Linked DNA regions of Xenopus tropicalis. The protein of the gene in region 3 interacts with the protein of the main gene of each other region in a biochemical or structural test. Links are inferred from orthologs where the notes say so. Each region holds a gene or a part of one and is shown on either strand. Other genes may lie near its edges.

Region 1 (3,518 bases), on a different chromosome or scaffold from region 3:
TCAGGGGCTTCCTGGGGGCTTTAAAGAGGCAGTTATTTCACTTTGCTTCTACATCTTATCTTTAAATTTGGGTCTCTGGAGAAATTGTCATCTCTAACCATACAACATTAAAGATACAGATAAAGCAGGCTTAGTGGAAGTATTTGTTCAGTTGAAATAACTGGGGTGTCATGGGTATTATGTGTTCAATACAATCTGTGTGTTTCAGTAATGTCAGTCTGACATCATATGATCATAATTTACTAATTAATAAGTATTATATCTAAGAAGAGACTTTTAGAATCCTGACCTTTGCTCATGTACTCGGTGACAATATAAATGGGCTCCTCAGACACTACAGCATAGAGCTGCACAAGCTTATCATGCTTCAGTTTCTTCATGATCTGTGCTTCTTCTAAGAAAGATTCTGGAGACATGGTGCCTGGCTTCAGTGTCTTTATCGCCACCTTTGTGTTTCCATTCCATGTACCTGCAACACAACATACCCAAGAATATGCACATTAGCATCAGCTAGCATTTAGAAGGAACGGAAGAAGGGACCCATGCCATTGGCTCTAGGGTGGCAATTCTCCAGTGCTATGCAAAATCTATAAAGAAATTGTGTGGGGGTATATTTGCCCTTTAACAGGCAGCTCCTGTTACCTTTGTAGCAATGCCACAGGATGCATATACTAAATAAAATAAACTTAATGATAGCTGTGTTTCCAATTATTTGATATTTATTGCCACTTTAAAGGCCTGCTGGTATGAATTCATAACCATTGGCATGGACCCCTCCTTTCCCACACAGAGCTTGGCATGCAATCACAAATACTCATGCACTTTAAAAGCAAGCTGCATGCAATAAAAAGCCCACCCACCAAGAAAAGAAAAAAACAATATTCTCACACTAAAATCTCACCTATTTCCAATGTTAATGCAAATTTAAAACTACATTCAGAAAGGAAAGTTAGTGTGGAAATAAAGTGTTAATAGGATAATTGGTTTTGGATTGTAATTACATGCTACAATCACAATGGTAAAGGTCACAATCACAGAGGAATACAGAAACCGTGGCTAGGTTTTATTTAGGGATGCACTGAATCCATAGCTTTTTGGATCTGACCACCAACAAATTCTGCTGAAGTGTGTATATATGCTTATATGTATGTATGTATGTATGTAGTATGTACATTCTCTGTACCCCTAGTTTCAGGCATGGATTTCTGTTATTTATAGTGACACCTTCCATTTGTCAGTCTGCAGTTAAATTTAACGGAATTTATGAAACACACATACTGAAAGGGTCTGTTCACCCTAAAATTAACTTTTAATATGATGCACACAGTATTATTCTAAGCCAGCTTTTAAGTAGCCTTAATTTTTAATTTTTGTTATTTTATATTCACAGTTTTCTGTTCTACTGTTGGGTTGCCATGGCTAGCTAGATAACCAGACAGCAGATTGGAATCAATGAAATTCACTGCTAACTTTGTGTCATAGATAATGACAGATGGTTATATAGACAGACACCTCTCCATTATATAAATATATGAAAAGATATGCCAAACTTGATGGACTAATGGTTTTCTATAACCTTACCATTTAATAATGCACCATTGTCAATATAATAAACACCTTATGTGGCAGATTTATCAAAATGCGAGTTTAGAGCTTAATACATAAAAACTCACCCATGTTCAGTTCATTCCTATGGGATTTGTAGAAATGTATTTATCAAACGGTGGGTTCTAACTTTCACCCATTGATGAATAAGTATCTAAAAATCCCATAGGAATTAATAGAATGTGGGTGAGTTTGTATGTATTAAGCTCTAAACTCACATTTTGATAAATCTGCCCCTATGTTTTATACTTAATAATTTCATAAATTCTCTACTGTAGCCTATGTGGAAACCTGGAGATTAATAATCTCTGGCACAATTTCTCTTTGCCATTGATGCTAAGTGACTTTTTTAGAGATAATATTGTTTAAAAAGTAGAATGTTTTCTCCTAAGCATGAAATATTGTCCACCTTACCAAACCACACTTCAGCGAAACAGCCCTGACCAAGCTTCTGCTCCAAAGATATTGTATTCCGTGCAACCTCCCATGCATCCTTAGCCAGTCCAACAGTTTGTGGAGTATAATTCGGTGCAATCAGAGTTAAATTAAAACACAAACCATCAGCTTTCTCTATAGGAAAAGGAATTAATAAAAAAACAAAATACATTTATGTCAAACCACAGCATGCAATAAGAAAGATGGAAGGTGATTGGTGTAAAGTATTTATCAACGCCACATTATAGTAGACAACTCAGTTTTTATATATTTTTAAAACTTCTAATATTCTGGCCATAGTAAAGTCCTCAACAGGTCACACTGGAGGCTAAAGAAAGGGGATTGTGGTTTTCATGGATTAATACCTACATCACAAACTTCCTGCTTCTTGTTTGCACCCACTTTCCATCTTTCCTCATATTGCTCCACACAAGAGCAGGTTATTAGATTTATAAAAATATATTCACTGCGTACCCATCCATACTTCCCCAAACTGCCCATTCCCCAGTCTCTTGATCAACTGGAGTGATTCTCTTGGTATTTCCCAAACATCTTTGGTTTTGACAGACAGGTCTGTAAGTCTTGGCATTCCTTTATGACATGGTACTACCAAGCGGCAACAAAGACCTGCAGCTCTCTCTGATGAGAGTTGAAAGAAGAAGGCAGAAAAGACAGGAAAAAATTGAAACGAAAACATGAAGCAAGATTAAGCATCACTAAAGAAAAGATAAAGCACATACAAGCAGAACTGAGCATATTTAAAGTCGGAGCCAATTTCACAAAAGGGTGGAGAGGAACCCTTTAGCATCCTGTAAGGCTCAGTGGTTTTGCATTAGAGATATGTCAGATACAATTGAATGATCTGTTGAATTTTTGCTTCTGTCTGTGATAAGACAATTGTTCTGCCTGGTTGGTTGGGATCACGAATTAGCACAATAAGAAAGGTGCCTCTATTGACTATTAATCATTCTTGGATTTGTAATTTTAAAATAATGTCGCTGATCTATAATATCAACAACAGAAGCAATATGACATTTTATTAAGGTGGCAGACAGCACTTGCAGGGTTAAGCAGAAAGAAAAGAGTGAAAGATATGCTTAAAGTTCTCAAAGCCAAGTATTTTGTCCTCTCAACAATAAAGATGTTACCCATGTTTTGAGGAAGGTGCTGGAGACAAAACCAATTGCATCCTCATTCCTAGAAATACACTCACTTTTAAGGAAGCACTGTGCAGATTATGTCTAGTATTTTTTTAAGCAATGGCAAATTCTAAATTAATACTGAATTTAGTAATTACTCAATTATATCCTTACTCCAAAAACAAATATGGCTGTAGTCACATTGTTCCAATGGAGTTTGGTTACTGAAGGAAAACTAACTTAGCAGTCAGAACTTTGCTCCTCTATTTTATATTCATACATAAGTGAGAGCTGATCAGGAGTTTCCACCAAAAATCTTGGGGTCCTAAACAACTACCA
Region 2 (3,518 bases), on a different chromosome or scaffold from region 3:
TGCAGTGGGAAGTCTGTGTTGGCCCTAGAGTGATGCAGCCGCCAGTTTGCAGGGAAACGGTCACACATGGCGTTTTCATCTATGTTTCCCTGCTGTGGATTTTTGTGCCATCTTCTGCATGGCAAACAGAAGTAAAATGCTAGAATTTATATGTACAAATAACCATAAATCCACTGAAAATTACGTGTGGATTTTTGTGTGTTCAACTACATGGCAATGAATGAGTTAAAGCGGTCTGCCACCCAAATGGCCAATTGCATAATGAAAGAAAATATAATTCTAAGCTGCTTTCCAGTATATATTCATTAAAGATTTTTATTGATTCTCAAGTTATTATAAATTGTTGTTGAAAGCAACACCTGTCTGGCTGCTTATATTTTCTGCACTGCTGAATATGACTCCCGGAACAGTAGTGTGTATGTATATATGTATATATATGTGTATATACAGTGGAGGAAATAATTATTTGACCCCTCACTGATTTTGTAAGTTTGTCCAATGACAAAGAAATGAAAAGTCTCAGAACAGGATAATTTCAATGGTAGGTTTATTTTAACAGTGGCAGATAGCACATCAAAAGGAAAATCGAAAAAATAACTTTAAATAAAAGATAGCAACTGATTTGCATTTCATTGAGTGAAATAAGTTTTTGAACCCCTACCAACCATTAAGAGTTCTGGCTCCCACAGAGTGGTTAGACACTTCTACTCAATTAGTCAACCTCATTAAGGACACCTGTCTTAACTAGTCACCTGTATAAAAGACACCTGTCCACAGAATCAATCAATCAAGCAGACTCCAAACTCTCCAACATGGGAAAGACCAAAGAGCTGTCCAAGGATGTCAGAGACAAAATTGTAGACCTGCACAAGGCTGGAATGGGCTACAAAACCATTAGCAAGAAGCTGGGAGAGAAGGTGACAACTGTTGGTGCGATTGTTCGAAAATGGAAGGAGCACAAAATGACCATCAATCGACCTCACTCTGGGGCTCCACGCAAGATCTCACCTCGTGGGGTGTCAATGATTCTGGGAAAGGTGAAAAAGCATCCTAGAACTACACGGGAGGAGTTAGTTAATGACCTCAAATTAGCAGGGACCACAGTCACCAAGAAAACCATTGGAAACACATTACACCGCAATGGATTAAAATCCTGCAGGGCTCGCAAGGTCCCCCTGCTCAAGAAGGCACATGTGCAGGCCCGTCTGAAGTTTGCCAATGAACACCTGAATGATTCTGTGAGTGACTGGGAGAAGGTGCTGTGGTCTGATGAGACCAAAATAGAGCTCTTTGGCATTAACTCAACTCGCTGTGTTTGGAGGAAGAAAAATGCTGCCTATGACCCCCAAAACACCGTCCCCACCGTCAAGCATGGGGGTGGAAACATTTTGCTTTGGGGGTGTTTTTCTCATTTTCGCATTAACGGGAAAATGGACGGAGCCATGTATCGTGAAATCCTGAACGACAACCTCCTTCCCTCTGCCAGGAAACTGAAAATGGGTCGTGGATGGGTGTTCCAGCACGACAATGACCCAAAACATACAGCAAAGGCAACAAAGGAGTGGCTCAAGAAGAAGCACATTAAGGTCATGGAGTGGCCTAGTCAGTCTCCGGACCTTAATCCAATAGAAAACCTATGGAGGGAGCTCAAGCTCAGAGTTGCACAGAGACAGCCTCGAAACCTTAGGGATTTACAGATGATCTGCAAAGAGGAGTGGGACCAACATTCCTCCTAAAATGTGCGCAAACTTGGTCATCAATTACAAGAAACGTTTGGCCTCTGTGCTTGCAAACAAGGGTTTTTCCACTAAGTATTAAGTCTTTTTTTGTTAGAGGGTTCAAAAACTTATTTCACTCAATGAAATGCAAATCAGTTGCTATCTTTTATTTAAAGTTATTTTTTCGATTTTCCTTTTGATGTGCTATCTGCCACTGTTAAAATAAACCTACCATTGAAATTATACTGTTCTGAGACTTTTCATTTCTTTGTCATTGGACAAACTTACAAAATCAGTGAGGGGTCAAATAATTATTTCCTCCACTGTATGTATATATATGTGTATATATGTATATATATGTATATATATGTATGTGTATATATATATATATACAGGTATGGGATCCCTTATCCGGAAACCTGTTATCCAGAAAGCTCCAAATTATGGAAAGCCCGTCTCCCATAGACTCCATTTTAATCAAATAATTCAGAATTTTAAAACTGATTTACTTTTTCTCTGTAATAATAAAACAGTGCCTTGTACATTATCCTAACATATAAATAATCCTTACTGGATGCAAAACAATCCTATTGTATTTAATCAATGTTTTTTTTATTTGTTAGTAGACTTAAGGTATGGAGATCCAAATTACGGAAAGACCCCTTATCCGGGATACCTTTGGTCCCGTGCATTCTGGATAAGGGGTCCTATACCTGTATATGTGTATATATATATATAAACTGTAACAGCTAGCAGCATAGGGTTAAAATGTTATTTATAACATATGTTTATATCACTCACACGATCATAGTGCATAGACACATACAGTAACAGGCATTTCTAAGAAGTTGGGAAAAAATAGGTTGTATGATGCATCATTTTAGTTAAACTTTTCATGTTGCTTTTTTGTTCTTTTTGGTACAAAAGCCAAACCCATTTGTGCAGAATACAGGATGTCAATAGATGTCATGCAGCTGCCAGGAAGTGACAAAGGTACTATGGGAAAACTCAAAACACGTTATTTTTTTTTGCCTTTCAGATGCAGAGACTTACTTAGCTGAGTGCTTGCAGAATGAAAAGCTGAGCGGCAGGGCAAGAGAGCAAAGGGATGAGATCCTGCACAGCTTCGGGCAAATCCGAAACAGGTCTGCTTTACTGTTGGGCGACTGCCAATAGATGCTAGAGATGCTTTAGATATTATCTATATCCAACATTCTAGGGACTACACAGTTCCTTGCAAAAGGGTTCATCCATCTGACTAGATCTCTCCATTTAAAAGAACAGTAACACCAAAAATGAAAGGGTTTTAAAGTAATTAAAATATAATATACTGTTGCCCTACACTGGTAACAGTTATGTGTTTGCTTCAGGAACACCTCTATAGTTTATATAAACAAGCTGCTGTGTAGCCACGAGGGAAGCCATTTAACCCAATGTAACCCGTGCCATTTAGCCCTACATGCATTTGAATGGCTGCCCCCGGGGCTACACAGCAGCTTATTTATATAAACTATAGTAGTGTTCCTGAAGCAAACACACAACTTTTACCACTGCAGGACAGCAGTACATTATAGTTTAATTACTGTGATACACTTTCATTTTTTACTGTTAATGTTCCTATAAAAAAAAAGTTCTATGCTGAAACAGAGATCTCCATGATCTTTTTAAGTACAAAGAACTGAAACTCAGATTTATTTATTTTTTGTGGCTTTGCTTTAGAAAAAAAGAATATGTGCATGCCACCATTTGCTGTGTGAAAAAAATTTGTGTGCAAAAAACATAATTTAGTACTTATTCTAA
Region 3 (4,261 bases):
GGTAAACCCCCTCTGATAAATGCCACTGTTTGCAAATAAACAACTGCTTCATTTCCAGCAACTATTGTCTGACACACTCATGCACTGGTGATTGCACCTCTACCAACACATCCAAGAAACTGATCTGTTGCTCATTTACCTCGGCCTTTTGTCCTGGGAACTGGGAGAAGAAAGCATATGGGCCTCATCTGTGTCAATCAAAATGTGAGCCTTTACAGAATCCATATAACTAACAATGATGAAACTGTAGGCAGATATATTGCCTATGTCTGTGTTGTGGTGCTAAAGGCCATTCGGCTTGTATGGGCAATGCTATTTAATGCAGGAAACTGCACAGTGTCTCTTGATGCCCGTTCCAATCTCCTTATCAGTTCTCCTATACTTTATGGACCTCCCCTTCACCTTGTTGCTCCATTTTCTTTGTTGTCATTCCCAAAGAAGATCACCATGCATGTTCTATCAAGGGACAAGGCATACAGTCTCCTGACAGTTGAACCCTGTATGTAAAGGTATCTAAGCTACCCACTGGGCAGAGGATGGATGGGGGGCATATAACCTATATTAAAGGCAAACTCAACCCAAACACAGCTTTTTGCAAACTAAACTTAATTTCAAGCAGCCTTTGCAATATACATACATTAAAAAATACGCAGACATGGTTGTTAATGTATAAATATGGTTTGGAACAGTTCCCTAAGCCCCACCCCCTGTTGCCCTGCTGATCTGGCTGACTACTTTGAGACTCAAATAAAATGCAACAGTAGTCGCCTGTCCTCAGCCTGCCTTCAGCCTGCATCCTCCCAATCCCACAATTCCCTGCACGTGATGTCAATAAGGAAAGGAACATCTCAGTGCAATGCATTGTGGGTTGTGTAGTTCCTGCATGCTGTCTGTAAGCTGTGGAGGAGTTGTTACAATTTGTAACTTCAATGCTTTAGTCCCTCCTCCCCTGCCAGGATTTGAGATGATGCAGAAAGAAAAGAACTGTTTTGCAGCTCGATTTCAGCATATAAAAATTTTATTTATTCATACTTTCTGAAGGAATAGGTTACAGTAATAGGGATATTAGGGGTTTCTGTGTTGTATGAGGCTTTTTAACAAATTTTGGTTTGGAGGCCGGAGTTCCAGTTCAACTGTTGCTGGAATAATAACTAAAAAAGTTAAAATATGTTATAAAAGGGGGTTACTGTGCACAATGTAAAATATATGTCAGCATTTACTTCCTTTTATTGTTGTAATGGTTTCCTATGAAGAAATGGAACATTTAATTCACTTAGTGGAGAGAGAAGTAAGGCCTCAGATGTATCATGAAGTCTATTATCCAGATTCTCTCTTCTCCAGGAGCGGTAAAGTCCAACTGAATGATGTTACTGAGAATGCTGGGAGTATTAGTTCACAGCCGGGGAGCTGGGTTTTTTACATTTTTCTTTTAGAGGAAGAAACACTTTCGAAAGCAGAAGAAATGAGAGAAGAATCAGTGTCAGTAGGTGGCTGGGACTGGGCACTTCTATGGGTCACGTTGAGATGTCGGTGCGGCTCATAAATCTGATGGGGAAAGAAAGTATATCCCTGTGCTTGTTTCTGTGTAAGTGGATATGAGGAGTGATATGAGCTGTATGATAACATTCTATAATCTACACAAAAGGGGAAGTCGCTTCATGCAAAGGATAATAATTAAGCCCTGTGACTCTGCACTTTGCTACATGCAACATCGGTGTTGGCGTTAAAAAATGGTGAGTTCTTGCACAATTTTCTTTTTTTAGCCCTAAAATTGCTACAAAGCTGCCAGTGGGGTTATATTTCTGCTGAATGTTGTGCTTCTAGGGAAACTGTACAGCATAGCGCAGAGCGGGCAGGGACTGGCACCTAGAGCTGCACAGTTTCCCCACTGAATTATTTCTTCCCAAGTGCAGCTATTCATGCCTTTTATTGTCAGATTGTCAGACTGATAACTCCTAGTAGGATTCTGTGAGATGAAAGGGTTTGTCTGATTTATTGGGGCTGTTGTGTCCTAAATGATGGGGACTTTAGATTGACATTTAGTCATTTGGAACAGAAACATTATATGGTACCTAGGATTCCTCTTAGCAACCAGGCGGTGGTTTGAATGAGAGACTGTATATGCTTAGCAGGTCAGCGGGTGTGAACAGAAAGACAAATCATATAAAATATTAGTAGTAGTACAGGTATGGGACCCTTTATCCAGAATGCTTGGGGTCTTTCCGTACTTTGGATCTCCATATCTTTAGTCTAGTAAAATATCATTTTAACATTAAATAAACCCAATAGGATTTTTGGCATTCAGTATAGATGGGATCAGGTACAGGTACTGTTTTATTATTACAGAGAAAAGGGAATAATTTAACCATTAAATAAACCCAATAGGGCTGTTCTGCCCCCAATAAGGGGTAATTATATCTTAGTTGGGATCAAGTACAGGTACTGTTTTATTATTACAGAGAAAAGGGAATCATTTAACCATGAAATAAACCCAATAGGGCTGTTCTGCCCCCAATAAGGGGTAATTATATCTTAGTTGGGATCAAGTACAGGTACTGTTTTATTATTACAGAGAAAAGGGAATCATTTAACCATGAAATAAACCCAATAGGGCTGTTCTGCCCCCAATAAGGGGTAATTATATCTTAGTTGGGATCAAGTACAGGTACTGTTTTATTATTACAGAGAAAAGGGAATCATTTAACCAATAAATAAACCCAATAGGACTGTTCTGCCCCCAATAAGGGGTAATTATATCTTAGTTGGGATCAAGTACAGGTACTGTTTTATTATTACAGAGAAAAGGGAATCATTTAACCATTAAATAAACCCAATAGGGCTGTTCTGCCCCCAATAAGGGGTAATTATATCTTAGTTGGGATCAAGTACAGGTACTGTTTTATTATTACAGAGAAAAGGGAATCATTTAACCATTAAATAAACCCAATAGGGCTGTTCTGCCCCCAATAAGGGGTAATTATATCTTAGTTGGGATCAAGTACAGGTACTGTTTTATTATTACAGAGAAAAGGGAATCATTTAACCATGAAATAAACCCAATAGGGCTGTTCTGCCCCCAATAAGGGGTAATTATATCTTAGTTGGGATCAAGTACAGGTACTGTTTTATTATTACAGAGAAAAAGGGAATCAATTTTAAAAATTTGAATAGTTTGATTAAATGGACTCTATGGGAGACGGCCTTCCTCTAATTCAGAGCTTTGTGGATAACGTGTTTCAGGATAAAAGATCTCATACCTGTAGTTATTTTTAAATAATAATAAATCTTCTGTCAGGATCAAAATCTTTAATATATTATATTGATATGTTTTTTCTCACATGCATGTAGAATGCAATAGGTAAATGCATATAAACTAGATATATAATTCATTGCCATATAGTTTGCAGCCAACAGATTTTGGCTAAAGCCGGCCATACACAGGAGTTCTTTCATACAATTATTGGTACATGTAAAGGGGTTCATCACTTCCAGCCGATATCCAACTCTGTGCATATTGGTTTAAAGATGGAACACATTTGAAGATGTCATTGGTTGATAAACCATTTTTTGGTATAAGGTTGGCTTCTTGTCCCGTGTTCAATCTATAAATGTCAGTGGGTGTAACCAGGGTCAGACACAGTCAGTATAGGGGGGGGGGGGGGGGCATTGTGCTGAAATTGTGAAAGAGCCCACTAGTCATTGACCCAACAACATATACATTTGCCCTCTGTACACTGTATTCTTTAAATAAAAGAAAATTAATGGGTTGTTTACATGAGTGCCCTCGTGTTATTGCGCCAGATATATATCCAGCCCCGGATGGAAATGTATTTAGGGACAGAAACTTCTGCTTAAACTGTAAGCTGTATGATACATATGTAATCTGCATTCTTTTGGGAGACAGGTTTCCATGAGCTATATGCTTATCAGAAAAATGAAAGTGATTTAGTATTCTTATATGGCTTTATCTTATAGCTGCATGTCAGAGTCCACTTAATGTGTTACTGGCAAAGTGCTATTCCACTTATTTTAACTGCCACAATACACATCTTCTAATGTTATTACTGTATGTTTTCTCAGAGTTTATTATCCCCCTGCTATCCCACAGCCACATTCCCTTCCCAGAGGTTATTATCCCCCCACTGCTACTATAGGCACCATCTCTCCCTACTATACCTGCTATCCCACAGCCCCAGTCCCTTCCCAGAGGCTATTATCCCCCCACTGCTACTATAGGCACCATCTCTCCCTACTATACCTG

Evidence for each region. The genes of interacting proteins can lie anywhere in the genome.
Region 1: the proteins of fyb1 (region 3) and fyn form a complex in vitro, tested with the Homo sapiens proteins (2 studies listed by BioGRID and IntAct). The link is inferred for Xenopus tropicalis from reciprocal best matches to the Homo sapiens genes FYB1 and FYN.
Region 2: the proteins of fyb1 (region 3) and skap1 form a complex in vitro, tested with the Homo sapiens proteins (2 studies listed by BioGRID and IntAct, with this or other methods). The link is inferred for Xenopus tropicalis from reciprocal best matches to the Homo sapiens genes FYB1 and SKAP1.

What each region holds. Positions count from the first base shown.
Region 1 is NC_030681.2:76,824,429-76,827,946, reverse strand, and holds part of fyn (tyrosine-protein kinase Fyn), read right to left. Parts: intron 2,680-3,518; coding exon 2,515-2,679; intron 2,176-2,514; coding exon of another isoform or gene 2,020-2,175; intron 470-2,019; coding exon 290-469; intron 1-289. UniProt on the Homo sapiens protein: Non-receptor tyrosine-protein kinase that plays a role in many biological processes including regulation of cell growth and survival, cell adhesion, integrin-mediated signaling, cytoskeletal remodeling, cell motility, immune response and axon guidance.
Region 2 is NC_030686.2:11,938,037-11,941,554, reverse strand, and holds part of skap1 (src kinase-associated phosphoprotein 1), read left to right. Parts: intron 1-2,757; coding exon 2,758-2,863; intron 2,864-3,518. UniProt on the Homo sapiens protein: Positively regulates T-cell receptor signaling by enhancing the MAP kinase pathway. Required for optimal conjugation between T-cells and antigen-presenting cells by promoting the clustering of integrin ITGAL on the surface of T-cells.
Region 3 is NC_030677.2:196,905,004-196,909,264, forward strand, and holds the start of fyb1 (FYN-binding protein 1), read left to right. Parts: upstream 1-1,444; 5' UTR 1,445-1,730; coding exon 1,731-1,733; intron 1,734-4,261. UniProt on the Homo sapiens protein: Acts as an adapter protein of the FYN and LCP2 signaling cascades in T-cells. May play a role in linking T-cell signaling to remodeling of the actin cytoskeleton. Modulates the expression of IL2. Involved in platelet activation.